4 linked regions of the Arabidopsis thaliana genome follow. The protein of the gene in region 1 interacts with the protein of each later gene in a pairwise test. Each region holds a gene or a part of one and is shown in the gene's direction. Other genes may lie near its edges. The genes, in order: AT4G30410, AT3G23690, HBI1 and PRE5.

Region 1 (7,289 bases):
GAAAATATGAAGAAGTAATGAGTAAAACAATGATGGGTAAAACTTTGATTATTCACAATTGGCACCCTATCAAAACATCTGCTTCCTCTAAAGTAACTATGAATAGCTCCATTAAGGAACTTAATTAGAGCATATATATAATGACAGTCCAAAATAAAGTCTCCCTCTTGTAGTATTAAATGTCTTAGCTATATGAACTTAACGAAAGAAACTTCCCATGTGAAAACACCCACTCCTCCAACGTCACTAATTAATTAGCAACTAGCACAATTATTAATCACAATTCATTTTTCTCTCTCCATGTTATGCACTAATGAATCTTGTTTTAGCATGTTTCACATTGATTGTTCGGGTTGTTACCATTTTAAATAATGATATGTTTCAATTCACAATTTCATATAGATGACTTATGTACGCAACTATGCATTTTCATATTTTATTCTTAAAAAAGTATCGGTTCGTAGTAAAGTCTGAATTAAGTTTTTTACTTTTGTCCTTGGAAGAGTACGGAAGAAGACACTAATCTACCCTTGATTTAAGGAGACAAACATATCATTAAAAGGAGATTATGTTTATTGATTTTAGATTATACCCTAAACATTATCCAATTAAAATAAAAACAGTTACTTTAATTGACTTTTAGGCTGTATCGGTCGTAGACTCGTAGATAGCAGTAGATACCATGAAACTGAAGCTAATCCACTCACCATTCCGTCGGTTCTTCTACCTTTTTAACTTCAAATTATTTCACATGGCCTACACATAGACTATAGTATACATTTATCTAAGACCATGCGTTATATGATTATGATAAGAATGGAGCTCGTAAATAGTATATCAGATAAAGTTGAATGAAAAAAATAGTTGATCGGTAAAATAATATTATACTTGATTAATTGAAACATATATTGAGGATAAGCTAGAGTTACCATTTCCTATAACTATTCTACTTAGATTAGTACTCTTCGTATGAATCATATGTTACATTTTATATACACTTTGATAAAACTATTTGTTTTACATATAATTCTGTTTTGCATCAATGGACTCTCACTATTGCATCTTGTGAACTCGTCTGTTTTATTCCCCATGATGAGTGATGAAACCATCAGCCACGCCACCAATGATCTCAAACATTATTTTTATATTATAGTTACATCTGTCAACACTCAACAGTAACATCAATGTATTGTTCTGCAATGTCATCTCACATATCTTTTGCAAATTCAAAAAGTACGAGATATCTCTCTGTAGATCAAGACCATTTGGTGTTCTTTGATTCAAGACACTAGAAACAATTTGATTGTACTATAAATCCTCAATTTTTGGAAGTTTATCAACTGTTAGGACAATCGACCTGTCAGTAAATCTGAATTTCTTATATGATAGTAAATGATTTTAAAACATATCACAGCCGTCAATCAGAGAGACTGTGAGAGTCACCGTTGAAAATCACTCTTTGGTGAGTGAAAAAATGTAAAAGTAAAAGAACCAATGGGTAAGGGTCCCTCCACGTGTGCACATGCGCTTCGGTGGACGCGTGCATGCAAGAGTGTTGCCACATTAACGACGTCGTAGAATGTGATTAAGGGCACAAAACATTTTAATCAAAGAAAATTTGACTGATGGTGACGACAATGAGATGGTGGGCGTGTAGAGTTCGGAGAATGATTGTTGAGATTCCCGTAAATTACGGAGGTCCATTGGAAAACAAATCCCCGCACCAGAAGATCCATGTTCGATGTATTTTGTTGGAGAAAAAAAGCTAATTTTAATATCAAAAATATTTCTCTTTCGATAGTTGTATATATTTATCGAACATCAACTTTTATATTCATGTACATCTATCAATATCATTTTTTCGTTTTCTGAATTAAATTGACCAATATAAATGAATTATTATTGTTTCTTTTTCCTTTTTATCAACAATTATTATTGTTTCTTTTTTTCTTTTTCAAAACCAGGCTTTCCCAAAGTTTGCGGATCGCCACGTTTTAACCACTAACACCATATTGATGTTATTTGTTGTATGTGTATAAAAAAAGTTATGGCACAGTTAATGTGTTGACCATGCTTTTCATATTTGATACCTAGTTGTGAATGTATCACTGTGAAGCATCAAAAAGAAGATGAAATAATGCACCGTATAACCAAGGTGTGCACTGTGCAATGCAATGCATCATAAATTTCTCAAATTCTGTTTTTTGTATGTAAATTATTGACGTATAATGGTAAATATGATTAATAGATTCACTCATTGTTCGACAATAATCAAACTGAATATTGCTCGATAATAACTGAACATATTACATTAACAAATTACGCACTCACAATCGTCAGAACCAGCCATTATTCTCAGCTATACATTCTATATCATTTGTTATCTTTTTATAACCTTAGGTGATTTAGGTGATCCAGGTCACGGTAAGTATATATAGATTATAAACTTTTATGGAAGACTGATGACTCAATCTACAACATTGGAGAACCACAACTTTTTAATCTATACTTTACGTTCTTTAACATTTAAATTTCAAAACTGAGATGGACTTTTTTAGTTATTATATATGTTCTAACTAAGTAATGACACCAATTCAAAGATAATCTAGATTATTTAGCGTGCTTATATAGGCCTTTATTTGCTTGGCGACAGCGCTGACTGATAAGGTTGTCAGATAGAGAATTACATGTTAAATCAAATATGTGAACATACATTACATACATATATATACGAGTGATGAGATCATTATATATCACGGATTCACGGAGTGTGAAAAAAAAAACCAAATGAAGCTACGCAGTTGACAGAAAACAAACGAAAGATACACAAAAAATGTTTTTTTTTTCATAAAATCCTCATAATTGCAAAACTTAAAACATCAAAACGTATATATATCATCACAAATTTTCGGCGGAAACAAATAATAATGGACAAAAGTTTCCTAAATTATAGGGTAATACAAAAGGGTACGTGGGCCATTCGTAGCATGTGCATGCATGTGCTTCTCCTATCTCCTATTGCCCCCACCATTTTCCCTCTCCTTTTGAAACAATTAAAATGGACCCTTTCCTTCTCCTTTCTCTCTCCCTTACCTCTCTGTCTCTTTCCCTCTCTCTCGTCGAATTCACGAATTCGTGAGGTGACCGCAGATTTGTTCTTAGCAATCTTTGACGACACTAGAAGTAAACAAATTCTTAAAAAGGTATGTGTTCATGTCTCTTCTGGTTATAATAAGGAACCCTAAACGGGGAAAAAATCCAGTTTGGTTATGATTTGATGTATATTAGTATATTACATACATGTATCCCTTTGATGTATAAAGACATCATGGTTTATTACTTAGGATTAACTTACTTTTTCTTGAAAAATGACTCATAATTGAGTATATTTCTACTTGATTAGGATTTAGGATGCAGCCTACGAGCTCAATGAATGAAGAATTCCTAAAGAAATGGCAAATGGGTCTTCAAATATTCCGTCCTTCGATAGACAACACGAGCGTCCACGAGAGAAAAAAAGCAATAAAGCTCTCTGCAGACGTTGCAATGGCGTCTCTAAGAAAAGGAACAACTTGTTGGAGCCGAGCCCTAATCGAGAAAACCGCCACCGAGGACAATTTCCTCGTACGTCAGATGCTTTCCGGCATCAAAGCGGAAACGTTAATCAACAAGAAGTTGCCTAAGAAGACTGTGTGTCATAGGAAGATCGTGAGGCGAAGCAAGAAGATCTTGAGGAGGAAATCGAAATCAGCGAGCGAAGAGGCTGCAGCAAAAGCTAAGAGACTCGTCAAGAGACGGACTCAAGGATTAAGAAACGTTGTACCTGGTGGTGAGTTGATGAGCAATGACGTCTTGTTGCTTCAAGAAACGTTAGATTACATTGTGTCGCTTCAAACGCAAGTAAATGTTATGAGAAGTATTGTTGATGCTGCCGAGGCCGAAATTGAGAGATAAATGATAAAAAAAAATCTTGTTTTATTTTTTTATCTGCGGAGATTAGTTGCGAAAGCATGATGTCGATCGGATCTTGTTGTTGGTCATTAGAACCGTATGTTATTCGGACAATGCAATTGTCATACGAGGATGGAGAGATATTATAGTAAGCCATTTTGTACATAAGGAAATTTATACAATGCTTATAGAAAGTTTCTGCTACGTGATGGTGGTTTTTATTGGAACATTTCTTGGCAAATTTTTATTTTTTTTGAATTTAATTTAGTTAATGTGAGTGAATTTTAAGATATTTTTAACGCTTCGATTGCTTTTCTTGGCATGTTTTTATTTGAGAGAAAAAAATAGACAAATGTTATTTTATATTATAGATATCTGGTTCAGTTTTATTACAACTCACTCGTATTGGATAGCTCATTTGACATGTCAACCCAAAACAAATGATATATACTAGCTCATGTGAGTTTTTTTTCTGTTTTTTTTTTTCAGATTTTCAATGTTAATTAGCTCATATGAGTTGTCCAATATATATTTGACTCTTTGCTTATGTTTTTTTTTGGGTTAAAGACTTGGTTTGAAAGGATAGTACTAGTCTACTAGAACAAAACAACCAATAAGACAGCACGTGTAAAAATCAGTCTTTTTCGTATATACTCCATGTTTCATCAATCAGCATCATTTAGTATTCAGCTAAGGAAGAAGACGCTTAATGGCAACGAGGAAAAAAAAAACGTACATATTCACGTTCATTTTTTTCCTAGCTAAATTAATTAACACCGTTCAAAGATATATTATTTTGTCTCATGAAAGCTATGCCTCCCACCGATGGTATTTATCCATTTATATGTGCATCTATGTACATATGATTAATGATTCTCACTTCTCAGTTAGATCTGCATTCATTTTTGTTTGAACAAATTCTTATTAAAAAAAAAATCTTATTTGCCACGTACTTTATATGTTAGATCATGTAACAAAGGGGTATTTTCGATTTTTTCTGTATGTGGTCTAAACTGCAAGTTCTATTGACAACAACCCCAATGGTTTTTCTGTAACAGCTAACTTGCCAACATTTTCTTTGGAGATTATTAGAAGGAAAAAAACGAAAAAAAAATACCAATATAATATTACACATTTTGAGAAACTTGTTTATGTTCTGTTAGGCCCAGCCCAGTTTGTTATTAATTGGACTCGTAAATGGTTTGTTTAATAACAGTTGGACTCTTGTTAACCAGTCAAATGTCCACACAAACTAAAGGGAAAGAACTCAAGAAGTGAATGAAAGAGAGACAACACGGCGTTGCCCTTTATTTTATCTTAAAACGACATGTAGTCTTCCCTTATTAATGTCTTGACTCTTGAGAAATTGTGAGTTTGACTTATGTGACTTTATTTTTGGCTGTAGAATTGTCGAGGAGCAAGGAAATTATTAAGTAGAAGCGACTTATAATTTTAAAGGTTAGTCAAACATTAGGATTTAGGAGAAAGTTGTCTCAAACTATTTGTGGAACTTAACCCTTTTTCAAAAAAAATCATTTGGGGAACTATCTAAGAATTTTAAAGTCAAACAGAAATTGAATGTTATAGCTTACAAGAAATCATGTCATATTCTCATACATATTAAAGGAGTGTTACAAAAAAGGTTTATTTTCATTTTAAAATCCAAACTCTTATGCAATAATGCAAATGCACCATTTATACATAGAAATAAACGGCTTTGAGTATACGATAATTCTAGCATATGGTCCAAGCTAGAATCAAGAATCACTTTCACAAAAAAATTGTATACCACTATAACCGATAGAGACACCCTATGTGGTAAAAATTTCGTATTATCTTTTAGTGTATATTTTCTTTGATTTTTGACCTATTCCTATAGGGATGAATAAACTTTTGGTCGCAAAATTGGGATGAATTAACTTTGCACATAAACCAATGTTATTAACGTTATAAAATTACATGTAAGTTGTCACGCAATAAAGACTAAGTGACTAGTGGGCATGTAATCCAACTGCTTCCATGCCCGTTATTAATTCACCCATTAATGCAAAACTTTAGCCATTCAACATTTAAATACATACATACATGTATACAACATATCGCACAAGAATCAAGATGTCACTCTTTTGTCGTAAGAAGAATTGCCTCAATTCAATGCAACTGTCTTACCACCACACCTACTTCTTATCTAATGCTCCAGAAAACAGAAATTAAGGAAAAAAAACATATAAACAAAGATTCATAGAATAATGGTTTGTATCTCAACTGCAAATTATATGATTCATTATCTTATTGTTAAAAAGAAAATTCATATTAGACACAACAAATTGTATGACTAACAGTTCCGCTAAACATATGTAGTATTGATAGCCAACTTTAGTCTGAACTTTAACCTAACAACATCAAGTTCAGGATTTTAATTTATCTGAAGAAATTTGCGATAACTACTCACCGGTTAAGCATTTTTACGGTTTCTTCAACAATCTTTAGCTTTCACATGACCAAACAAGAATCATGCGGTTTTGAATCTTTGACAATTTTATTCCTTGAACTTACTTATTCATGATATTTAATTGAGTCGTTTTCTTGTTAGATGGAAAGCTTCAATCGACAATTTAATTGTTGGGTCTAATATTCAAGAACTGAAAAAGATTTGTCAAAAATAATACAAGACGCACCAAATGTTCTCAATCTATGTCTAAAAATATATGTATCTCAACACCACGTTTCTACAATGATTCATATATCTTTTTGCACTTATGAGGACTAACACAAAGAAACAATTGAACAGAAAACTAAATTTGAAAATGGAAAAATTATAGTAACTAGACATTAGTTGAAGAAGAAGAATGAACAACCTTGTTTTGTCTCCCTGCAAGCCAAAGCATAGTCCTCCTAGCAAAAGATGGTGTTTTAGTCTCCAAAGACTCCGAGTTTTCGCACTTTTGATTATCTTCTTCGCAACCACTTTCGATCATCGCATCGGGATGGTTCCGCTGGTTCGATAACCTGAAAGAGAATGCTCTTCCCGAAGACGAAGAAACCAATGAACTATCCTCTTTTCCTTGAACTTTACTATGCTTCTCCTTCTTCCCCCTTAGCCATATTTTCGATACCGAAAAGCTCTCTCTTTCCACTACATTCTTCTCGGCCGCTTCTTCCACTATCCTCATCGATCCACTCCCACTGAATTTCAATCTCCCTGTTGGATCAAACCCGCATTCGGACATCGCTGTCCTATGACCGGGCAAGCCACGGTTCTTGCTTGATTGTTTCTTGGTTGAAACATGAACCTTAAGAGTCGTTTCTTCATCCATTATATACTCATATGATCCCAT
Region 2 (8,695 bases), on another chromosome or scaffold:
GAACTCCCGCCAATCTCTCCTCAATAGCATCAGCAGATAATCCTTTCCCGCTTCCGCGAATCGGAACCGTCACCTGAGCCCTCGCACCACCACCGTCGTCAGAAATTCTCGCCCAGACAGGTGCCTTACCAGAATTGAATCGAGAGATTCTAGAATCTAAAGCTTGCTTAGCTTGATCACGAAACGAATTGAGAGCAGAGAATATATTAGGTTTGTTGTTGTTCGTGTTGGCGTTGAAGAGAGGATTAAGGGTTTGTGAAACGTTGAGGAGTAAATTGGAGCATTGAGATTGGAGATTTGAGAAGGATTGTTGTATATTATTAAGCTCGTTTTGTTGTTTCGATGGTGGGAAAATGTTTGAATTCATAGTTTTCTCGGGAAAATGATGCTTGAGACTCTGAGAAAGAGTAGTGAAGGGTTTTTGAAAGGCTTTGCGAAGAAGACGACGACACTGAGGAAAAAGATTTGATCTCTTTGCTTGAATTAGAATTGTTTTTGTAAAGAAACCCTCTAATTATCCAATGTTTACAAATTGATCCTATATGTTTTAAAATATAGCACCTGTGAGCTGACAAATGCCACGTCACCTTCATCTCCAGTCTCTCACTTTCTTATCCAAAATGGCAAAATCCATTAACCATCATTACCTTCAATCTCCGTGGCTTTTTTGCTCTACCGCGCAACAATGGCGGTTTTTAGTGGCGCTACTACTTTAGGTTCTGTTTCATTCGCCTCTCATCTCTTCGACCAACAATCCACTTTCCTCTCTTGCCCACTTAGACTCCTTCCTTCCTCGTCTTCTTCTTCTTCCAATAGAAACTCTCTCGTCTGCATAGTCAAATCCTTCTCAAGCTCCGCCACAGCAGATACCGATAGAAACTCCGATCAATCAGCCTCTTCCTCAGTCCTCTCCGCTTCCAATTCTCTTCTCCGTGATACCTCCGACGAAGCTTCAGCTGCAGGACCAAGCGATTGGAAAACAGCAAAAGCTTATTGTAAAAGTGGTGATACATTTGAAGGTGAAGTTCAAGGCTTTAATGGTGGTGGCTTACTTATTCGTTTTCATTCTCTTGTGGGTTTTCTTCCTTATCCACAATTAAGTCCTTCCCGTTCTTGTAAAGGTAACCAAAACTCTCTCTTCTTCACAAGGTTCTATGTTTATGTCCTTAAAGTATCGATTTTTACATTGATCGATGGTTTGTGTTTTGCTTTATGAAGAGCCTCAGAAAAGTATTCATGAGATAGCTAAGACTTTGGTTGGTTCTAAACTTCCTGTAAAGGTAAAGTTTTCTCCTTTGGCTTGTTTTGTGATCTCTATATTGTTTATAATTTGAGGTAAATCTTTATATTAGGTTGTTCAAGCTGATGAGGAAAATAGAAAGTTGATTTTATCTGAGAAGTTAGCATTATGGCCAAAGTATTCACAAAACGTTAATGTTGGGGATGTGTTTAACGGAAGAGTAGGTTCTGTTGAGGACTATGGTGCCTTTATCCACTTGCGTTTTGATGATGGTATATTTGCTTTTACCTAAATTTCTTGGTTTCTTTTTCTTGTTTTGAGCTTATGACATTGATGTCAGTTATGTGGGGTGGTGGTGTATAGGTCTTTATCATTTAACTGGACTAGTGCATGTCTCCGAAGTATCATGGGATTACGTTCAAGATGTTAGGGATGTACTACGCGATGGTGACGAGGTTCGGGTTATAGTCACGAATATTGACAAGTGAGTTGCTTATTTTGGTTACTGAAATTTATTAGCCATGACTCATGATATAGTTTTTAATCAAAAGTTGTTCCAATGCAGAGAGAAATCAAGGATTACACTATCCATCAAACAACTAGAAGATGATCCTCTTCTAGAAACATTAGACAAAGTGATTTTGAAGGTAAAACAATGTGAATGAATGTGTTTTCTGTCTCTTGTGGGTCTTAGTGATTTTTAATAGATAATTGAATATTGTTACAGGACAGTTCTACTGGATCTCCTTCGCTAAGCTCGAACAATGGGGATACAATTGAACCTCTTCCAGGGCTAGAAACAATACTTGAAGAGCTTTTAAAGGAAGATGGGTATATAGACAATATCATTTTATAATTTAAATTTACTATGCAGTCCTAGTCAGCTCTTTGCATAATATCTGCTTATTATAAGTGACTAGGATCACCTCTACTCTACTAGATTTGTTCACTCCTCGATTTGCGATTGAATATATACATGTCAATAGCTATTGCTGGCTGATACTTTTTCTGAACCCATGATGAGTTGGATATTGTTAATTGCATTACTTATAGAATCTATGTTTCAGGCATAACATTTTGGTTCCAGTGTGTAACTAATATTCATTTCTATATTGCAGAATAGAAGCTGTGAAAATCAACCGGCAAGGATTTGAGAAAAGAGTGGTTTCACAAGACCTACAACTTTGGCTCTCAAATGTGAGTTCTGTTTCTCTTTACTTTCCCGTAAGAATAAACTCTGCTCTGTGAAAATTCTGATTCTATGCGCATGTTCACACGCAGACACCGCCTTCTGATGGGAAGTTTGTTCTTCTTGCCCGTGCTGGAAGACAGGTAAATCTCAGAAGCTACCCATTTATATGGCCATAGATAGAGAGATTCTTGGTTTGATTTTAAGTAAAATATTAACATTACAGGTGCAAGAGATACACTTGACAACGTCTCTGGAACAAGGAGGAATCAAGAAAGCGCTTCAGCATGTACTAGAACGCGTCCCCTAAGAACCCGAAAAAAGACTTTTGATACTCAGCCACTATATTCAGCTCTATGCATCTCAAACTCTTGCCAATGTAACTTCAAGTGGAGCAGAGACTACTTCAGAAATATTCTTAAAAGGCAAAAATGCAAATTCATTTGTATCATCATTATATGTCACACATAACACAAACCTATGAAAATATATGTGTATACTCAATGTTTTTAGTTACACATTATAAACTTCATTAACATAAACAACTCATAATACATCAAATTCAAGTCTAAAACCTTCTCAAGTCAATAATTGACTTTTTTGACACCATGTTTTGGTAAGTACCATCATCTTTTAAAATAGTCTCTTAACCAAGAATAATCAAACATGATAATTAAAAACAATTTTATCCTTTTGTTTGTTTTCTCTCCCACAACTTTCCTGTCTCTGCCATGCACATGCTCTCTCTCTCTCTCTCTTTCTTCTCTCTTATTCTCACTCCAATGATTACAGAGGCCAGCCTAAGCAGCCTACCCACTTTCACCATCTAATGTTCCCACATTAACATAAAACACACGTAAGATTCTTCTCCTTTTGAACTGTAAAATTCACTCTTTTTTAATTTCTTAATCTTTCTTATCATTACTTTCTCTTTTTTATTTTGTCATTTTCTCTTAAACCTTCTTCTTCTTCTTCCTTTGATCAGTAAAAAAAGTCACCGCCTTCTTCTTCTCTTTCCTCTTTCCCCTAATTGATCAATCATGCTTCTTCATTTCTAGTTCTCTCTTCCTGACTCATTTCCCTCATTAGATCTTCTTCTCCACTAAACCCATAATTGAAAGAAGCTCTTTTTTTGCTTACATTGAAGTTAAAAAATCATCACTTGTTTTGTTTTTGAAGAAACACACATAAAGTTTGTCTTTTTACTTCTCAAATTTGGTTGTTTTCACTCAATTTCAATCTTGCTTTCTGATTCAGATTCTGGGTTTTCTTCAGAATTCCCAGAGAAGTTGTTGGAATTGAATTTTTCACTTTTTTGTTCATAAAAGTTCTAGTCTTTTTAGATGAACATGGACAAGGAAACAGAGCAAACCCTAAATTACTTACCTTTGGGTCAGAGCGATCCCTTTGGCAATGGCAATGAAGGAACAATTGGAGATTTCCTTGGAAGATACTGCAACAACCCTCAGGAGATTTCACCGTTAACTCTACAATCCTTCTCTCTGAATTCTCAGATCTCCGAGAATTTCCCAATCTCTGGTGGAATCAGATTCCCTCCATATCCAGGTCAATTTGGATCCGATCGTGAATTTGGGTCACAACCAACAACGCAGGAGAGTAACAAGAGCTCTTTGTTGGATCCAGATTCAGTTTCGGATCGAGTTCACACCACGAAATCTAACTCTAGAAAGAGGAAGTCGATTCCTAGTGGTAATGGCAAGGAGTCTCCAGCTTCATCGTCTCTTACAGCTTCCAATTCAAAGGTTTTGATTCATTATCTCTCTTGCTCTATTTCAAAAATGTATACTTTAGGAAACTGTAGCCATATGTGTAAGAAAGTTTGTGTTTTGTGGAGACTTTTTATCTATAGACCTTTTAGTGTGTGTACAAGGTTTTTTAGTTGTGTTTGGTTTTGGATATATGATTAGGTTTCAGGAGAGAATGGTGGATCTAAAGGTGGGAAGAGAAGCAAGCAAGATGTAGCTGGGAGTAGTAAAAACGGAGTAGAGAAGTGCGATAGTAAAGGCGACAATAAGGACGATGCTAAGCCTCCTGAGGCGCCTAAAGATTATATTCATGTCAGAGCTAGAAGGGGTCAAGCAACTGATAGCCATAGTCTTGCTGAAAGAGTACTACACACCTTCTAAAACTGATCTGTTTTTTTGTTGATTAGGGGCTGTTTTGATGTTTATGATGTTGATGTTTTTTTTGGCTGTGTTTTGGTTTCAGGCAAGAAGAGAAAAGATTAGTGAGAGAATGACGTTGCTTCAGGATCTGGTTCCTGGTTGCAACCGGATTACAGGGAAAGCAGTCATGCTTGATGAAATTATAAATTATGTGCAGTCCTTGCAGAGACAAGTTGAGGTATGAATTGTGTATTTCATAAATGTTCTTGAAAGTTGGAGTTTGTATATCTTGAATCTAAAACTCGTGGTTTGTTTCTTTAGTTCTTGTCCATGAAGCTGGCTACCGTAAATCCAAGGATGGAGTTTAATGCTAATGCTTCTTTATCCACAGAGGTAAGATTCTGCTTTGTATCTATAATGGAATGGTCAGATTATGGAATGTTTTGTATCTATAATGTGTGTATTTGTATGTGTAGATGATTCAACCGGGGGAGTCGTTAACGCAGTCTCTTTACGCAATGGCTTGCTCAGAGCAAAGACTTCCATCAGCATACTATTCACTTGGCAAGAACATGCCAAGATTCTCAGACACACAATTCCCCTCAAACGATGGATTTGTTCACACTGAGGTAGTTTTAGTAGTAGCTAACGTCAGATTCTAGAAAAACTCGTTTGTGCGTATCGTAAACTCGATCCTTTTATGTTTTTGATTCATTATAGACACCAGGATTCTGGGAAAATAATGACCTGCAAAGCATTGTTCAGATGGGTTTTGGAGATATCCTCCAGCAACAGAGCAACAACAACAACAACAACTGTAAGAAAAATTAGAAGCAAATTCGTCTATCGAAATTATAGAACTATCTCTTATGTTGTTAAAGTCTCGTATCTTTATGTTGCAGGTTCTGAGCCAACGCTTCAGATGAAGCTTGAACCATAGTCCATAGCTATGATTATTATCTCTGTTGTACATACAGAAAACCAAGTAGTGATGAGTAACGGAGTGAATCATATTGGAATTTTAATGTTTACAATCGTTGCTTCTTTGCTTGTGTCTCTGTTGATTTCTTCTCAACCTTAAACAAAAAAAAAACAAGAAAACTTCAGATTAAGTATGTAAAAATATGACAAGAACTTTTCTCTGTACTGTTTTACAATCGTTATGTATTATGATTGCTCTAAGCTTGTAAGAAACAGGAATAAATTTGTTCACTTCTTTATATTCTTTTCACATTTTCTTACGAAACAAGATTGAGAGTACGAGTGGTTGATTACAGAAGTTCTCTCTTTCGATTCGTATACGTTCCCAATTGACTTCATGAGACTCTAATATTGCATTTTAAGGTACACTAAGCTAAGTTCCAGAAGAAAAAGATTGAGCGACTAGCTCATTATCGATGAAGAAAGATAAGAATGAACCATGAACATGATCTTAATCTTCAGTTTCATTAACTCAAGACTTGAAATAAAAGCTCTGTTTCTGCGTAATAATAGAGTAATATCATCTCGTTGGCTCCTTTTTCCTTCCTCCTATCAAAGCTCATTGATTTGTCGCTTAGAGTGAGACAAGCCTCAACATGTTTTCATCATATCGACACTTTTCTAAATCGCTTTGTTGTTTCGATTCCCCTCCTTCAGGTTGCTTGATTTGTACTAAACTTGGAACATAAGAGCACAGATCAGTCCTACATTCTTGGTCTCCAAAATCTCCAACGAGATCCAATCCCCTCAAGTATCCAGCCTCTCCAATGACAATAACTCTCTCGCGGTTACGTCCATCAAAACCAAAGGCGACTTTCTTCTCCTCGTCAATGAAGAAACTTTCACTTATAAAGGAACATAACTATTAAATCCAGCTGTTGCCACTCTCAAGAACTTGCTCCACAAAACCTCTCCAGTCTCAATCTTGGTCGTAATCCATAAGTCAAGCTCATATGGATTTGATTCATCGTGCTGAAGTAAAACCGCAAGCTTCTCTTCTCTAACACAAGATAACGTCATACAGTCAATATGCCCACCACTAAACGGCAGAGGCAGAAGCGGACCAAATCTCTCACTTGTAAAATCAAAACAGATTAAGCGATCGGCCAAGACTTCATCGACATCTACGTTCCTTTCTGCAGCACACCAGTACGTGCTTCCCTTAAGAGAAACGCCACGGTTACAAAACGCTATACGCCAATGCGGAGTGACATCAAGAGTAGTCCATAAATCAGAGTCAAAATCGTAGATTCCATACCAAAAGAATTGCTTCTCGTGTGCATTGTAGTAATAATCTATCAACCCCAACAACTTGTAGTAACAACAAGAATCCGTATTCACGTATCCAAGAGCGTAAGAGAACCTATCCCATCCGTGTGGACGATGGGAATATCTTGGTTCGATCCACCTTGTTTGCTCCAAATACGGATTACAAACCACAAACCTAGAATCATCTTTTAAAATGCATAGCAGTAAGCCCTCGCAGTGATAGAACTGAGATATCTTGACTTGTTCGTCAAGGCAAGGAAGTTTTCCTTTATGCTCTATAGATGGATCTCCATTGAGAATAATACTCGTTAAAGAAAGATTGTTACCCATCATCACGATCATCTGAGACTCACCTTCCTTTGCTGCGGCTTGACCAATGTGCATCTTCATAAAGCTCTGACTTTTGGATAAATCGTTCCACTTTTTGCAAGTTAATCGTATACGTGAATATGTGCAGGTTCTCTTACGCTCTTGGATACGTGAATACGGATTCTTGTCGTAACTACAAGTTGTTGAGGTTGATAGATTATTACTACAATGCACACGAGAAGCAATTCTTTTGGTATGAAATCTACGATTTTGACTCTGATTTGTGGACTACTCTTGATGTCACTCCACATTGCGTATAGCGTTTTGTAACAGTGGCGTTCTCTTAAGGGAAGCACGTACTGGTGTGCTGCAAAAAGGAACGTAGATGTAAATGAAGTCTTTGCTAATCGCTTAATCTGTTTTGATTTTACAAGTGAGAGATTTGGTCCTCTTCTGCCTCTGCCGTTTAGTGGTGGGCATATTGACTGTATGACGTTATCTTGTGTTAGAGAAGAGAAGCTTGCGGTTTTACTTCAGCACGATGAATCAAATCCATATGAGCTTGACTTATCGATTACGACCAAGATTGAGACTGGAGAGGTGTTGTGGAGCAAGTTCTTGAGAGTGGAAACAGCTGGATTTGATAGTTATGTTCCTATTATAAATGGAAGTTTCTTCATTGACGAGGAGAAGAAAGTCGCCATTGGTTTTGAAGATGGGAATCGCCACACAATTAACATCATTGGAGAGGCTGGATACTTGAGGGCATTGGATCTCGTTGGAGATTATGGAGACCAAAGATGTAAGACAGATCTGTGCTCTTATGTTCCAAGTTTAGTGCAAATCAAGCAACCTGAAGGAGGGGAAAGGGAAGAAGAAAGCGAATTGGAGAAGCTTCGATATGATGAAAACATGTCGAGACTTGTCTTACTTGAAACGAATCCATGAGAGCAACATGCATGAGGAGATAACAAGATGATTAAGACTCCAATTTATAATTCCTTATGTAATGTCTTTCATTTACTTATTCTTTTCTTTGAACAAGATTACTCTACTATCATAAAATTTGAAGAAGATTTGCTAAGATGTTTAATGACAAAACATAGTAACAAAGAAATCTATTTCTGTTTCTTATATGTACAACAAATGATATATTGGCTGCGATCACTTAAGGGATTCAGAAGTTCAATATAGAATGGATTGTAGAAGTAGTCACATATTTGAAGAATCTAGGAAACAGAACAATGAAAGGAAAAATAAAGGGACCTTAGTCTTAGCTTGTATTGGTCTTGGCTTTTTTCTAAGCAAAACTCTACTCTTTAAGTCCTTTCTTCAGATCCCGTGATTCGATGATTGGATCATGCGTATTCTCTAGTTCGTCTATAGTATTTTCATACGAATGAACTGTAAAGCGAGGAGTTGTGCCGTTAAGAACAAATCAAACTGTAAAATGAGTTAGTAGCACTTAATATAAGAAATACATCTTTCAGATTCCTTATCTCTATTTATGTGATCAATCAAAGTCTCTTACAGGAATCTAATAAAGACATCTTTGAAATGAGAGATGGACAAATACAAATT
Region 3 (8,267 bases), on another chromosome or scaffold:
TCGTACTCACATGCCCACGTAAATTATAAAACATTTAATTATATGGAATCTTGATTTTTTTTTTTTCAAATTTAATATTATTTGTCAGGGTTCGAGTTTTCCCAATTTCAACTATCTATGACCATCCGTAAACGTTTTCACTGACCTGAAATTTTTATAGATTTTGGAAGATTATATAGTAAGACTTTGGATAGTCCTCGGTTAACAAAAATAATAAAAAAAAATGAATCTTTTAATTTGAAGATAATGAAAATTGTTTAGAAACAGTGGTTACTATGATTTCACCTTTTAAAGAAACGAAAAAAACGAATTTTATTCACTTTTTCATAAAATAAGAATTAAAATTTTAAAATATATATAAAGTAATAACTTTGTTAAAAACTTCATTTTAATTGTACAATTTATTGATCAAAACATTTAAATCTAGTGGTTCAGATTGGTATGTTCATTGTATCATCATCCAAAATTCAAACCCGCATAATGTTATCTTCATGGTTTTTTTTGTTTTTAGTAGATAGCATATATCCAAGAGTTTTATGTAGATTTTTGGTTATCGAATTTTCGACAGCAAAATTTAATATATAATTTTTAGTTAAATTTCATAGAGCATTGGCTTAGCCATCATGAGAAAACAATCTGTAAGATAACTATTTGAACAATTTAGCCTTTTTAATGTCGACTTAAAAACCCCTTAGGAATCAAACACATGCATGTTTACTGGTGGTGGCGCTATGAAACTAGTTGTGGGAGTGTGGCAACAATAAGTTCTTCAACTTTTTCTTGCAAAGGAATTTGCATTAGTTATTTACCATATCTGGTCCAGATCATAATTATTCTAAGCTTTTGAATACTTTTTATTTTAAGATATAAACTAATTCAATTTGTCTCGTAATCGAATCAGAAGCACAAGGATTCGTCCGGATAGAAGGGTATTTTATTTGGTGCCTATTTTTTTGATTAAAAATAAGTAAATGTTGATATTGAGGTTTGTAGTATAGTGTTTATATATATTTATAGACTATAGTGTTTCAATTCTATATATTTATTAATACAATTTAATTTTTTAGTCCTCGTTGAAGTTGGGAAATTATGAATGAAAGAAGGATTGTCCAAATAAATAAAACTGGATTTCGACTTGGTCACTTGGAATATTGGATATATGACATGCAATACAATGTCGTCATAGAAGGAACTTGTGACCATTTATTATTATTTTGTTACATTTGTTTCACACGCACTGTTGATTACACTAGGCTTGACTTCATATGTTTGCATTGGATGTAAGGCCCAACATCGAAGCTTGTTTGTAGTCGACAGTTACTTCCTCTACTTTGAAAATTAATGTAAGCGCAACATTGACTTCATATGTTTGCATTGGATATAAGGCCCAACATTGGATGCTACACTTTGAGGTATTACTATGAGTACTAGAACTTTGAATCTGTTCATCATGCCGATTGCTTTCATTTCAAAATTCGAACATATCACCTTGTCTCCAACTCAAGCTCAAAAGAAAATAATACAAGAGTTTTCAAAATACTACTTATGACCAAAATTAATATTATATTAGTCTTGTTTAAAGGACATTGCAAAAGAAAAGGAAAAAAAAACGAATGAAAGTTGAGCTTTTTTTATTTTCTTTCTTTCTAATTCAAAGAAGAGTTATAAGTTATTAATAAATTGTAACTCTTGTTGTTTCCTTTTTGACTAATAGTGTAGTGTTAGACCTTGTTGTTAACTTGGTTCGCTTTCACTTCTTCTCTTTCCTAATTTTGCTCTTCCTCTTCCTTGATTTTCACTAAACTTAGCTTGGAACATAAGAGCTGGAGCACACAATTGGGCAAGAAAATGTTCTAACTTCTCCAAGATCCAATTTTTTCAAGCATATATTCTCTCCAATGATGTAAGCATATTTGTAGGCTTGAGATTCATCTAACTCAAAAACCACGAAGACTTTCTTCTCTTCATCAATGAAGAAACCGCAAGTCTCTTCATAAAACTGAAAATCAAGAACAGTGAGTGGTTCTATATCAACTTTTAAGAAGGGGGTCCACAACACCACTTAGGGCTCAATCTTAGTTATAATCCAAATCTCTATCACAGGGATTGATATAACACCGAGAGTTTCTCTTCTTTAACGCAAGATAGAGTTTCATTATTGTTATCATCCTCATGATGCTGAAATGGCAGAGGAAGAACCTGTCCAAATCTCTCTGCTGTAAAATCAAAACATATTAAGAAATATGGGGTTTGAAATGGATCACACCCTTTCATTCTTTCTTGAGTCCAATAGTAAGTATTTCCGGTTATTAATACTTAACCCAAACCAGAGAAGTGTTTGGATTGTGGGTTAACCGGTCGAACTGGAGGGTCCGAATTGGACGTGAAAACACTGAAAAAAAAGTAATCTATTTGTGTATCAGACTGTTACACATAACAAAAAAACATATAAGCTTTTGTTACTGGCATCGATATTGTTATTACAACGGTTCTGTTTGATATTATCAGTAAACAAATTAGAAAACTTTTTATCAAAAAGAAACAACTTAATATTGTTAGACAGATACATCTTAGATGTGAGAAACCTTAAGAATTATATCATGACTTGTATTTTTTAGGAAAAAAATCATTAATGCAGCCAATGTTATAAAGTTGATTCAATTTGGTCCAACTATGTAGATTGAAAGTAATGACTTTGTGCTATATTGCTACATGTATAATATTAACATAACTAGCTAACTTTTTCACAATGGAAAACTTATAAGAACTTAAATCCAAAAAAAAAAAAAAATCGCTCGTTTTGCAGTTCTTATGAATGTGATTGAAATTTGGAAGTGGGTAAACTTATAACTTTAATAGTATTACAACAGTGAATGGAGAAGGACACTATTAGGGACAATGTTCCACATCGGAAGTTAAGTAGGATCTTAAGTGGTATATATAAGATAGCGGCCTCTCCACCTATTGCCAATTGGTTTTAGGTTGGAAGCCCACACTCTAATATGGTATCAGAGCCCGATCCGCACATACTCAACCCGATCCACATCGGTCCGGCCCAATACTTGGCCCGCCGATCCATGCCCAAACATATCGAGATCAATGGCTAGAAGAGCCATCATCTCGAGGGGGCGTATTAGGGACAATGTCCCACATCGGAAGTTAAGTAGGATCTTAAGTGGTATATATAAGATATGGGTCTCTCCACCTATTGCCAATTGGTTTTAGGTTGGAAGCCCACACTCTAGTAGACAGAAGAATATGATCAAACACTCTGATCAAAAGCAATGGTCTCCTACCTTCCAATCACTTATCTTCAAACCCATTGTTTTCTTTATATATTTTAAATATATTTTGATGTCGCTTTTAATTATTAACATGTCATGTTATAGATTAATTTCTAAAATATTCAATGGTTGGTGGTATACTGTTCTTTGTTGTCTTGCTGTATTATCTATCTACTCATGGATTTTCGTTTGATTCTTTTATGGAAAACCCAAGATGACAAGATCTTTTGCATGATCTTGTCTTGTGTCTTTATTTCAAACTAACTGAATATAGTTAGTTATATATTATTGTTATCAATAAGCTGGAGTAGCTCAGTTGGTTAGAGCGTGTGGCTGTTAACCACAAGGTCAGAGGTTCGACCCCTCTCTCTAGCGATGTTTTCTTCTTTTCAGTTTTTTTTTTTTTTGTACTGATACAATTACAATTTACAACACAAAATACAAACTATTAGACTACATGTCAATAATGTCATGATGCAAATTTTGCGGTCAAACTTTTTTTAATATAAGTTTTGTTACATGGATTCAATGTAGTTTGTTTGGGTTTTACTTTGTAAGTAAGTTTTATAGAAACAATCAATTTTCTGAATTTTAGTTTGGATTGAATTCAATTAATTTGACTATTCCAAATGTCAATATATGTTAAGGTCTCACTCATTGTTTATTTTTTCCTTGTAAAGCTCCTCTCATAAACTTGAAAGGGCAAAAAAGAAGAAGAAAAAAAAGAAAACATAACACACACAAAGAAGGGATAAAGAACCTCTAAATTTAGTGTTCATAAGGACATGCCCACATGGTGTGGGTTATGTCACTTAGACCCTACACCTTCTCCTCTCACCTTCTTTGCTCCCAACCTTTTCTTTTATCAATTTATGTCCCTCTCTCTCTTAGATACCGAATCTTTACTACTATTTTCCGCAATTTGTTCTTGAGCCTCTTTTTTCTCCTAGTCATAGTCAAGTGTCTCTAAACGATGGACCCGATTTATCCACCAACGCTAACGTTTAATCTATCTCACTGTCATTTGTGACTATCACATAGCTACAGTACGACCATTTTCGTAAACTTATCATAAAAGATCGGTCTCAAATCCGATACAAATGTTATGTTGAACATCTACGTAAAATAGAAAACTATTGTTATTGCTATATATTTTTTAAGGGATACGTATAAAAAAGTTGTGGCGTATAAAAAACGTGTGGTACCATTTTGAATTGGTAAGAGAGTATTTATTTCTAGAGAGGTAAGAGATAACAAATAAGTAAATGAAATTTCTACATTTATAAAGGAAAATAAAATAAAAACATAAGAAGTAGGGGACCTTATGTGTGTGGGTCAATGTTGTTTTCTATTTAAAGCTAAGAAGAATGATTTCAATGGATTAGTTTCTCCCAACTCTTTCATCTTTTTTAAGCAACCACCCAAAAACAATATTACATAACCTAAATCTCTACTTCTTCATACATTTATAGCAAATCCTCTTTTGCTTTAAACCCACCAAATAACTCAGAGCTTTTTTGCATTTTTTCCCATTCTCTATTTTGTTTTGTACTTTTGGTCTCACTTTAAAAGATCATAAGTTGAAAGATTTCTGCAGAGAACAATATGTTGGAAGGTCTTGTCTCTCAAGAAAGCTTGTCCTTAAACTCTATGGACATGTCTGTACTTGAAAGGCTTAAATGGGTACAACAGCAACAACAGCAACTGCAACAAGTTGTGTCCCATAGCAGTAATAATTCACCTGAACTTCTTCAGATACTTCAGTTCCATGGAAGCAACAATGATGAGTTGTTGGAGAGTAGTTTCAGCCAATTTCAAATGCTTGGATCTGGTTTTGGACCAAACTATAACATGGGTTTTGGTCCTCCACATGAATCCATTTCAAGAACAAGTAGCTGCCATATGGAACCTGTGGATACAATGGAGGTTTTGTTGAAGACCGGTGAAGAAACCAGAGCCGTTGCCTTGAAGAACAAGAGAAAACCAGAGGTTTGTAAGATCAAAATTTTGGATAAAAACTTTGTTTTGAGACATGGTTTTTGATATTTTTTATTAATAATGTCTTAGGTTAAGACAAGGGAAGAGCAAAAGACAGAGAAGAAGATCAAAGTAGAGGCTGAGACAGAGTCAAGCATGAAAGGAAAATCAAACATGGGAAACACTGAAGCATCTTCAGACACTTCAAAGGAGACATCGAAAGGAGCTTCAGAGAATCAGAAATTAGATTATATCCACGTGAGAGCTCGTCGAGGCCAAGCCACTGACAGACACAGCTTAGCAGAAAGGGTAATAAAAATAAATAAGTTTCTTGTGATACAAGAATCATGATATATCTAGGGTTTCTGAATGGATTTGGATTTGCAGGCGAGAAGAGAAAAGATCAGCAAGAAAATGAAATATCTGCAAGATATTGTGCCTGGATGCAATAAGGTCACAGGAAAAGCTGGTATGCTTGATGAGATCATCAATTATGTTCAATGTCTCCAAAGACAAGTCGAGGTAAGCAATGAAACCATGATTCTCTGTAACTTAACTTCACTATTAACCAAAGAGAATAAGTCTAATTCTTAAAGAGCCATACTTTGCAGTTCCTGTCGATGAAACTTGCTGTCTTGAACCCGGAACTAGAGCTTGCCGTGGAAGATGTATCCGTAAAACAGGTGAAAACACATTGTCTAGACCCTCAAAGTCATATTGATATTGCTCAACAAACTTAAGGGTTATGAAATTTTCAGTTTCAGGCTTACTTTACAAATGTAGTTGCTTCAAAGCAATCAATAATGGTTGATGTGCCATTGTTTCCGTTAGACCAGCAAGGATCTCTAGATTTGTCTGCGATAAACCCGAACCAAACGACATCTATCGAAGCTGTAAGTACAGCTTTATATGAAACTGAAAAACTTGTCAGAGTTTTTGTTCCTTGTCAGTGAAGTAACCTGTCTCTGTATCTCTCTATTTCAGCCATCTGGAAGCTGGGAAACTCAATCACAGAGTCTCTACAACACATCTAGCCTCGGTTTTCATTACTAAGCAAGATTCATTGAAACAACATGGTTGACATCAATCAATCATCAAAATCAGAAGCAAATTCTATTACATTTGCTCATCAAAGTAGTAATTTCGAAATTTGGTTAATGCATTATCCTTTGATCCTTGTTTTCTGATATTTAAACCAGAAGAACTGGAGATAGCAATCCAATGATCTTGTCACCATCAATCTTTGTGTATAGATTATATAGAGAGATAGATAAATATGTTTTAGAGGAGTTATAGATATATATCATATTTGTAGAAGAAAGAGAGAAAACTCTTGTGGTAATTACAATTCTTGTTTGTTTTTTTGGATATATAAATATCTAAGAAAATTATAAATCGTTTTCCTGTTTTTTTTTTCTGCAACGAATATCTAAGAAAACTCTTGTGGTAATTACAATAAAATATCTAAGATTCTATTGTCAACGAAATGTACCCATCAATATGTTCCCATTCGAAGGGTATGGGTATAGAGTTATTAGGTCGCCATGATTTTTTATAAATCGGTGGAAGAATACTTTTGATGATCAAAGTAAACGGTATCTAGGCAGCCAATTAATCAATGTCGATTTTATCTTCACATAAAATTTTATTCATTGAATACAAATTATTTTCTAGCTATTTAATTTATGTAAAATTAAATCGATCATAAGAAAAAAAACTAATAGCTTAAACAGATGTTGTCTTTAGTTATTTTGATACAAGATTGCATTGTATTCTTTAAAAATTCATAACCAACATCATGGCGTTGAATTTGGATGTTGAATCCGAATGATGACTCTCAATGCACATTTAGATGAAAAGAAAAGAAAAAAATTTCGTTTGGAAACAGCTCATCGACTATTCACAGATTCGGGAGAGGTTATTCATTTATTCTTCTATTTTCTTGCTAAAGATTAACCATATATTCGAGTAGGATTCTTGTAAAAAGCAAACATCATCAAATGTGAAGTATGTGTCAAATAAAATTTTGTCAAATAAAACATCATCGAGTAGGATTCTTCTATTTCTATTTTTTTTTTGGATATTAGTTAGTGTCAAATAAATTTTTGTTAATTTAAAAACTACACTAGTAAACATTTTTATAACAAATAAGAAAATTGGATTCTCGAGTGATGGCAAATTCATGAATTCTTTATGAAATTGGTGAACATATATAAAATCGGACGTTGTTTTAAATTTGTTTCATTTTTAATTCAAAGAATGATATTTTAGACGTTTGATCATTGTTGTCTTGTTGATGCTACGATTGCATTCAAACTCTAGTTTTCATTACATTCAAAATATATCTAATTTTGCATTCGGATGCACCTACATATATAATTTTACAAAGCCAACAACATTCGTGCATCTATATGAAGAAACCAAAGATCCCTTAAGTTTCTAGCTTATTATTTTCTTTTCCAACTTTATCAATGCACTACAAAATCTACTACACTATGCTACTATAGTGATATGTATAATGTTACTGATGCTGACACAAGCTCTCTATATATTTATCACAATATGTTTTCTAAAAGTAGCTTTCAAGCTACCAAGTGGGTCAATGTTCTTTTCTCATATCAATTTTTCCAACCAATGATCTATTCATGAACTGTCTGATTTTGACAAGATCTATATGATAAGATATTATCCATAACCAAAAATGAAATTGGAAGTAGTTTTTTGAAGGTAGGAGTAGTTAAGAGATTTGAGAGGATCGAAGAATGAAGAATCTGAACCACAAAGAGTGGGCATCATTGTGGTTGCAGAGATTTTTAACCAAAGTGGACCTTCTTTTGTTCTTTCGGTTCCATTGAATTTTATCTTCCTTCATTTTTGAAGTAGTTGAAAATCTCTTCTATATTATTTTCAAAAAAATTCGAAAAGAAACAAAATTAGAGAGGTGTCGTTATCAAAAATAATGAAAGTCTTTGTTATTTCTGAAGTTAAACCATATATACAAAAAAC
Region 4 (7,225 bases), on another chromosome or scaffold:
AATTGATCAATCAGTATTTTGTTGAGCGCAAAGCAAAGGTAGATGAAGTGTGCTTAAACATCATTAAGTAATTTGTCGGGGCATAATTTTCCCTTTCTTTAAAACAAACTTTTTTTGTTTGCAACGCATACATATTTTTATTTCTTCAACAAGGAAAAAAAGCATATTTTTATACAGTATTCTACTTATAAAAAGGTCAAGACGTATTATGACTCGTTGAAATCACTATTATAGCATGCTGAATAATAGTATATTATTACGCATTTTTCGTAAAATCGTATTGCTTAAACTACGTTGATTCCGCAGCGTAAACCTAACCACGAAAATTACAACTATTCAAACAAAAAGAAATTAAAACATGTATATAGTTATATCGGAAAATTCAATTATTGCATTATTGCATAAGGCTGCTTTTCTCATTATTTTATCAATAACTTAAATTTGAATAATCTTATTTTGTTACATTATGTTTGAATGGACCAAAATTGATAGGAAAAATCAAAAGGGATCGTTGGACATAAAAACATCGTGGAGCCTAAGAGGCCTAACATTCAGTACGTGAAACCCACATGGACTAACATGTTACATCTCCCTTAGCTATTAATTTACAGTAATATATAATGTATACTTATAATGTGCATTGTTTTTCTTAAGAATATTAGAGGGAGTTTTGGTTAGATACTTGATTTTTTTCCTTCTTCTATTTTTCACTGAAAATGCAAACTTTTATTAACAAGAAAAAAGTGGAGTCAACACAAGTATGGCTGCGTAAACCAAATCCAAAAGTTATAATGGCAAAAATCTGTCATAACAAATCCGAGTTTTAAGGTAAAAACAGAGCCAAAACATAGTGATTAGCTTCTTTCCGAATATGAGAACGAACCTTCTCAAACAAGGGCTCTTGACTTTTAATGTCTACGTTGGATACACATCGTTTTAATGTATATTTATGGTGAATAATTCATGTTGTCGTCAATATCGTTATAAATGCATGGTATAATTTTTGGTACGCATTGTCTGCTCCATTGTGTGTAGAATAACTATTCGGAGCTAATCTTAATTTTGAAAATGCGCGGATAAAAGACCGTAATTTTACATGGCTTTTCTCTTGATAGAACTTATAGTAATACGACAAATTTAAACATGACTAATTTTGTTGAAATATATTTCTTTCGTTTGTAAAATTATGAGTTTAAACTCACATTGCAGATAGACTAAAGACTTGACTATCAAAAAATCAAAAACTAAGATCAGAAATAGAAAACACATAGGCAAAGTTCCTAATTTGCAAAAAAACAAAGACAATACCAATAATCTATATATGCAAACGAAACGAATATGATGATGAATACGTATCATTTATGCTATGTAGTATTGTTCTTGATAATTACGAATGGTTTAACAATATAATTATGTAGATAACGTTTAATGGACAATTGTATATATGTCGAGTACTTTTCTCAACCTAGCTATACGCCTTCAATTGAGACGTCTTATTTGTCTTCATTACAACAAAACAACAAAAGACATGCGTGCTTACGTTACGGTCACTCAAAATTTTATACATTTTTTGTTAATTGTATTTAATCTTATTAATTATTATGGTTACCATTACTCTGTTCACTTTGCACTACTTGTTTAGCATATTTTGTAATAACTAAATTTATTTTACTCATTACCTTCAATGTATTTCAATATTCTAGTCACCAAAATGTAAATTTCCCGGGTTCAGTGATCAATAAAACAGTACAATTAGTCTATAACTATTTGTTTATGTTTAGCTAATTGAAATGTGTTTAACACTAAAAGCATTTCATTCAAATAGAGGATAAAACAACCATATTACAAATTTAATTAATGTGATGCGAAGCTAAGGCAAACAAAGCTGTAACAATCACATACTTAGATGTCCCCATAAAGGACGAGAAATAAATAAAAACGAAATAATTAGTATGAACATTTTGATTTATATCTTTTTCTCTTATCACAATTTGGATTCAAATCCGATGTATGTGTATTGTAGAAAATAAGCTATTAATATGTTCGCCTCCATCTATTGCTCTACATGTAAATTTTGTTTTAAGTTTCTAAATCATAAAAAAAAATTAGGTATTAATAATTACAGAACTTCTCCTTAATTAAGTTTAGATTTTTAATTATAAGTCCTGGTATATATTTTCCTATTAGCTTGGAAGTTGGAGGAGAAAACATGGTTCAGTTGATTAGATTTAATACCAATTAATTAGTAGACTTTTCCTAATTTACTGACACTTTTGTATGTTATGCAAACAATGCACACAAATAAAGGACATAATTAAGTACCTTGTGTCCCCGTGGTAATCATGATTTAGAATCTAAGGAGGCATAATCTGAGATCTGAAGCAACCATATGGGACATATATGATATATGCCATTAAACATCAAGTATACTAAATCTCTCAAGCTTCCGAAACATAGGAGTTAAATTAGGAAGCAGACGAACTTATCATGACTACTTTTTTTGGGTAATCCATTGCAAGACCGAATCAAAGTCCACGCTGCTTTATTTTTTTTTCCTTTTTTTTTGCGGTCTATATAGATTCAATAAGGAATATCAACACATTGATTCAAAATTATTTGTGCTACTACAAGCTATGTGTAATAAGTTTTAAGCCATGTGAACACACTAATTTAACTAAACCAGTTCATCTAAATTGATTTGGATTACTACATATGTGTTCTTGTGACATATCATACATGACAGGAAGTTAGGTCTATAATCTTGAATGGAAAGTTATGTTCAATTTCGGATCAACCACAAACTTCCTAGATCAATTCTAGATCTTTCTATAATTCTATGGATCCAAGGTGGGATAATATCGTAAATAGTAATGAAATGAAAATAGAAAGTCAAGGTCATCACATGGTATTGCCTTTTAGTGACATGCACATAAAGGGCCACATTGTTAGCTCAACATGGAACACTTCTCTTAAATCCCACTTCAACTTCAACACCAGCTTTGGGAACATTCAGCTTTTTCATCTATTTCTCCATTAAAATGTCCAAAATCCTCGTCCATTATTCAGCATAACTATATTATATACAATTCTTTCAATTATTAATCTTTTACTAGTTTTACAAAATAAATTTTGATTTATATCCATACAAATAGTTTTTAAAAGTTAATAATATATGATAAAGCTATATAAGTTTTCCTTTAAATTAGTGAGTACTTTTTATTATAAATATTCATTTCTAATCTATGTTACTCTATGTAGATGAGATAAAGAAAAATATAATTTTATTTAAACAAATTTTGTTTGAGGTTTTATCAAAGATTCAAATCTCTTTCTCTCCCATTACATCATTGTCTAGGTTTATTGATCTCTTCCCTCTCTCCCTTGTGGTCCTTGACCTCTTTAAATCTCTCTTATCACTTTCTCATTTTCTTTATATCTCGAAGTGTCTCTATTACCCGAAACACTTTCTTACAATTTTCTCTTCTCTTCTCTTTTCGTTGCTCTTCTTTTTCTTTCTTTCACACCTCTTCAACACAAATATAAAACCTGTAGAATAAACACAAACCTTCTACATAACTTCTCTCACTTTTTTTTTTTTAAAACTCTCTTCTTAATAACAAACCCTTCTCTCTCAATCTCTTCTCTATTATCTAATCTAGAAAAGAGAGAAAGCATACAACATAAAGGTTATTTTCTTGCGGCATTGTAGTGTTACACCTAATCACAAAGTAAAAACAAGAAAATGTCTAACAGAAGATCAAGACAAACTTCGAATGCTTCGAGGATCTCCGATGACCAGATGATCGACCTCGTTAGTAAGCTCCGTCAGTTTTTGCCGGAGATTCACGAACGGCGTCGTTCTGATAAGGTATACGACATATATACATTCATTTCACCTCATTCATGTATATACAAAAAAAAAAAAAAAACTGATCTTTTCGTCTACATTTAAATCAAACAAAAGAAACCAAAAAAGTCGGAACATTTGACTCCTGACAACATTTTTGAACTTCGAAAAAGTCTTGTTTATGTGGTGTTCGTACATGTGTGTATATATATTAATGTTCTTGATGATGTTTGTTGAAAATGTAGAATCCTAACATTATTATTTGTTCAAAATAGGTGTCAGCATCAAAGGTACTACAAGAGACATGCAACTACATAAGAAAATTGCATAGAGAAGTTGACAATCTCAGTGATCGTTTGTCGCAGCTTCTTGACTCTGTTGATGAAGATAGCCCTGAAGCTGCCGTGATTAGAAGCTTACTCATGTAACCTTCCAATATTTTTTATTATAACTTCTTAATATAGTATTTATTAATTTATCTATATATGTAATCTTTATCGTCCTTTATATATCAAGCGACGTGCTTTTATCTTTTATGAACTTTGGAATTTTGGTACAGAAATTTACATTAATTTCTAGTCAGTAGTCTCCTAAATTTCTGATATTTATTAAAAAATAATGGACATTGTGATGTCTAAACTTGATTGTGTTAGTCAAATATAAAAATAAAAAACAATGCCGAATGAAATAAATAATGAATAATCCTTCAGTTACTATTTTTGTTACAATTGGATAAATATTTCGATTTTGAAATTTGTTATCAACTAATATTAATGATATACATTTTTCCGTTTCTAATAAAATTATTGAGGATAGTATTTGTTGGGTAAGCACCGGCTCATAATTATTGCATTCCTATAAATGACTATGACGTTGACGAAGTAATGAGAGGTATCTACATTTAACGGTGATAATTAATCTATGAAAGCTAATGAGCATGAGTGTGTATACGAATGCCCGACTAATCTTTTTGGATTTTTTTTGGTGTACATGTTAGAAATGTCCCATGAAGACCTTTCGCTTTGACGAAAGATTCATAATTTTCTAAAAATTGTTTACAGAGATTTAACAGACTGCCAACTTATGGAATATAGAAAATTAGTTATAAGACCTAAAATTTATGCAATCATTCTCATATAAATATAGGATTAAGAATTCTACAAATTTTAGGATTCATATATGAGAAGGATTATATAAATTTTAGGTCTTATAACTAATTTTCTGTATTCCATAAGTCTTAGGTTTTCATTAATAATTTAGGAAAGAATAATCTTATTACACCAACAAAATATGTATGCAGTATTTGCTATTATACCAAGATATTTTCGTAGTTTAGCAATTGAGAGTCTCTTATGAGTCCAATAGGTTAGTAGTTTGCTTTCTCGTAGGTTTTCCATCTATTTTCTAATGAAATGATGTCATTTACGAGCTTTCAAAACTATGTCGTTCTAAGTCTATATAGGCTTCTAACGAAAAATTAACTATGTGATCGTCTGGTTAAGAAAACTTAATGACATTGTCGAAATAGTCAAGTTAACGAAAATTCATCATTTTATCATAAATCAAACTAAAACTTTGTGATTTAAATGGTATTTCGAAAATGCATGTTTTTTCATTCCAAATTTAAAAGTTCGTTTTTTTTATAGATTTTTCACGTTCATATATGGGACTACTGGAAAACTTAGGGGGCTCTAAGAATAAGTATTTATCCTTTGTCATAGAGCGTTTAAATGATAGAATTAATTGATGGTCATCAAAATTGTTATCTAAAGGTGAGAAAGAGGTGATGATTAAGCTGCGTTACATACTTATGTGATGTCTTGTTTTAGACTTATCAAACTCGGTCACATCAAAACTTACCAGCGCGGTAGCAAAATTTTGGTGGAGTTCAAATGGAAAATCAAAAAGTATACACTTGATGTCAAGGCATAAGTTATGTCGCAATAAATCGATAGATGGAATATCTTTTCAGACTGTGGAAGACATTAATACTGCATTATTGTGATCTTTGATTTATTATTTTCTAAGGTTTTTAAAGGAAGATATATTTGGAAATCAAATTCCATGGATCGAATTAGATCCAATTTGATTATATGGATGAGAGAGTATTCTATCTGCTCGACCTCTAGTTAAGAACTTATTAAAAAAGTTGGTTCTATAGAGTCAATTTCAATATGGAATGACCCCTGGATTCCTGCTAAATATTTGTGGCCAGCTTTAAACAAAGGTTATAATTATAACCCATCTCTTCTTCTGAACAACTTGATTGATAACTAGACAAATTCATGAAAAATGGATTTGACCAACATTATTATTGACCCTAAAGATGTTCCCCTCATTTGCGTTATGCCTTTAAGTTTGCACAACATATTGGACACTCATCAACTTTTCCAAGAGAATTTCTCCATCTTTCCATCTTTAATAACTTTTTCCACATACCTTGTAAAGGAAGCCTTTGTAACACATGGTTCTAAGAATCTTGATGCTCTTGATCTCACAATAATTCTCTCCTTATAACCCTCAAAAATCATGTCAGGAGATTCAGCAATCTTATGACGAACTAACTTATCCAACTGATCGGTCATGGGATTGTACCAATCAGTTATCATGTATGTTTTGTACTGAACTACTGATTGGTTGATTGCTTTGATTACAGCGCAAAACTGATCAGTCTAAAAGACGCATTGTAACCGATCAGTTCTGATTTTGTAAACTTTCCATTTTTATCTTCTACGACATCGACTCTTTTGTATATAAATATTCTATGTATTCTAACCGCAGATGTATGTAATATTACGATTTTTCTGAATCTAAAGTTTTTTCTTAACTTTGTTCATCTTTTTTTCTGCTGGTTTATTTTGATTAATTATAAAAAGCCTTTGGTAATCCCTTCTTAAAGTCTTGATTCTTCTTCTACGATAATCACATGAACTTTGGTCAAGTGTGAATAGTCTCATCAAGTAGTTTAAGGATTCCAAAAGAGATGCATTTGTGAAAACCTATATGTAATTCTTGTAATTCTTAATTTATAATAAGGTTTGGTTCTCTATCTTTAGGTTTTTTTTAAAGCCTTAGTTTCTATGAACCAAATTAACTAAAATAAAAGCATTTTGAAGTAAATAAGTCTTCCTTTCCATTAGTTTTGGTATAGACAAAAAATTACTTAGAGAAGCTTTCTTTTACAAAATTCGTTCAACATTACAATATATGATTAAATACTTCGATGTAGTAGAAAAGAAAAGTCATTTCTATCTCGGTGTCGATGTCGACTCTTAATTACTGTATTTTGGTATTCTAAAACAAACACTAAATATCTTATAATGCAAATGCACTAAAAGTTTTGTTAGGAGTTGTTATGTGCGGTAGCACTCTATTTAT

The links.
Region 2: the proteins of AT4G30410 (region 1) and AT3G23690 interact in binary tests that used the Arabidopsis thaliana proteins (3 or more experiments, as listed by UniProt).
Region 3: the proteins of AT4G30410 (region 1) and HBI1 interact in binary tests that used the Arabidopsis thaliana proteins (3 or more experiments, as listed by UniProt).
Region 4: the proteins of AT4G30410 (region 1) and PRE5 interact in binary tests that used the Arabidopsis thaliana proteins (3 or more experiments, as listed by UniProt).

What each region holds. Positions count from the first base shown.
Region 1 is NC_003075.7:14,867,974-14,875,262, reverse strand, and holds AT4G30410 (sequence-specific DNA binding transcription factor), read left to right. Parts: upstream 1-2,995; 5' UTR 2,996-3,411; coding exon 3,412-3,954; 3' UTR 3,955-4,279; downstream 4,280-7,289. Other genes in the region: AT4G30400 (RING/U-box superfamily protein), read right to left, coding at 6,777-7,289. UniProt on the Arabidopsis thaliana protein: Functions redundandly with IBH1/BHLH158 in a regulation node known as the incoherent feed-forward loop (FFL).
Region 2 is NC_003074.8:8,525,733-8,534,427, reverse strand, and holds AT3G23690 (basic helix-loop-helix (bHLH) DNA-binding superfamily protein), read left to right. Parts: upstream 1-3,069; 5' UTR 3,070-3,772; coding exon 3,773-4,192; intron 4,193-4,357; coding exon 4,358-4,558; intron 4,559-4,658; coding exon 4,659-4,793; intron 4,794-4,876; coding exon 4,877-4,948; intron 4,949-5,031; coding exon 5,032-5,184; intron 5,185-5,275; coding exon 5,276-5,372; intron 5,373-5,457; coding exon 5,458-5,495; 3' UTR 5,496-5,819; downstream 5,820-8,695. Other genes in the region: Tic22-III (Tic22-like family protein), read right to left, coding at 1-367; AT3G23700 (Nucleic acid-binding proteins superfamily), read left to right, coding at 686-1,121, 1,219-1,280, 1,353-1,512, 1,604-1,724, 1,806-1,887, 1,968-2,071, 2,359-2,437, 2,522-2,572 and 1 more; AT3G23685 (F-box associated ubiquitination effector family protein), read right to left, coding at 6,111-6,359, 6,446-7,189; AT3G23680 (F-box associated ubiquitination effector family protein), read left to right, coding at 7,255-7,367, 7,468-8,062.
Region 3 is NC_003071.7:7,951,069-7,959,335, reverse strand, and holds HBI1 (basic helix-loop-helix (bHLH) DNA-binding superfamily protein), read left to right. Parts: upstream 1-4,596; 5' UTR 4,597-4,889; coding exon 4,890-5,273; intron 5,274-5,351; coding exon 5,352-5,570; intron 5,571-5,648; coding exon 5,649-5,783; intron 5,784-5,872; coding exon 5,873-5,944; intron 5,945-6,019; coding exon 6,020-6,154; intron 6,155-6,245; coding exon 6,246-6,300; coding exon of another isoform or gene 6,301-6,314; exon of another isoform or gene 6,315-6,695; coding exon 6,696-6,790; 3' UTR 6,791-6,932; downstream 6,933-8,267. Other genes in the region: AT2G18320 (F-box associated ubiquitination effector family protein), read right to left, coding at 1,805-1,999, 2,673-2,708, 3,027-3,116. UniProt on the Arabidopsis thaliana protein: Atypical bHLH transcription factor that acts as a positive regulator of cell elongation downstream of multiple external and endogenous signals by direct binding to the promoters and activation of the two expansin genes EXPA1 and EXPA8, encoding cell wall loosening enzymes.
Region 4 is NC_003074.8:10,852,831-10,860,055, reverse strand, and holds PRE5 (basic helix-loop-helix (bHLH) DNA-binding family protein), read left to right. Parts: upstream 1-3,268; 5' UTR 3,269-3,742; coding exon 3,743-3,868; intron 3,869-4,122; coding exon 4,123-4,275; 3' UTR 4,276-4,433; downstream 4,434-7,225. UniProt on the Arabidopsis thaliana protein: Atypical and probable non DNA-binding bHLH transcription factor that integrates multiple signaling pathways to regulate cell elongation and plant development. May have a regulatory role in various aspects of gibberellin-dependent growth and development.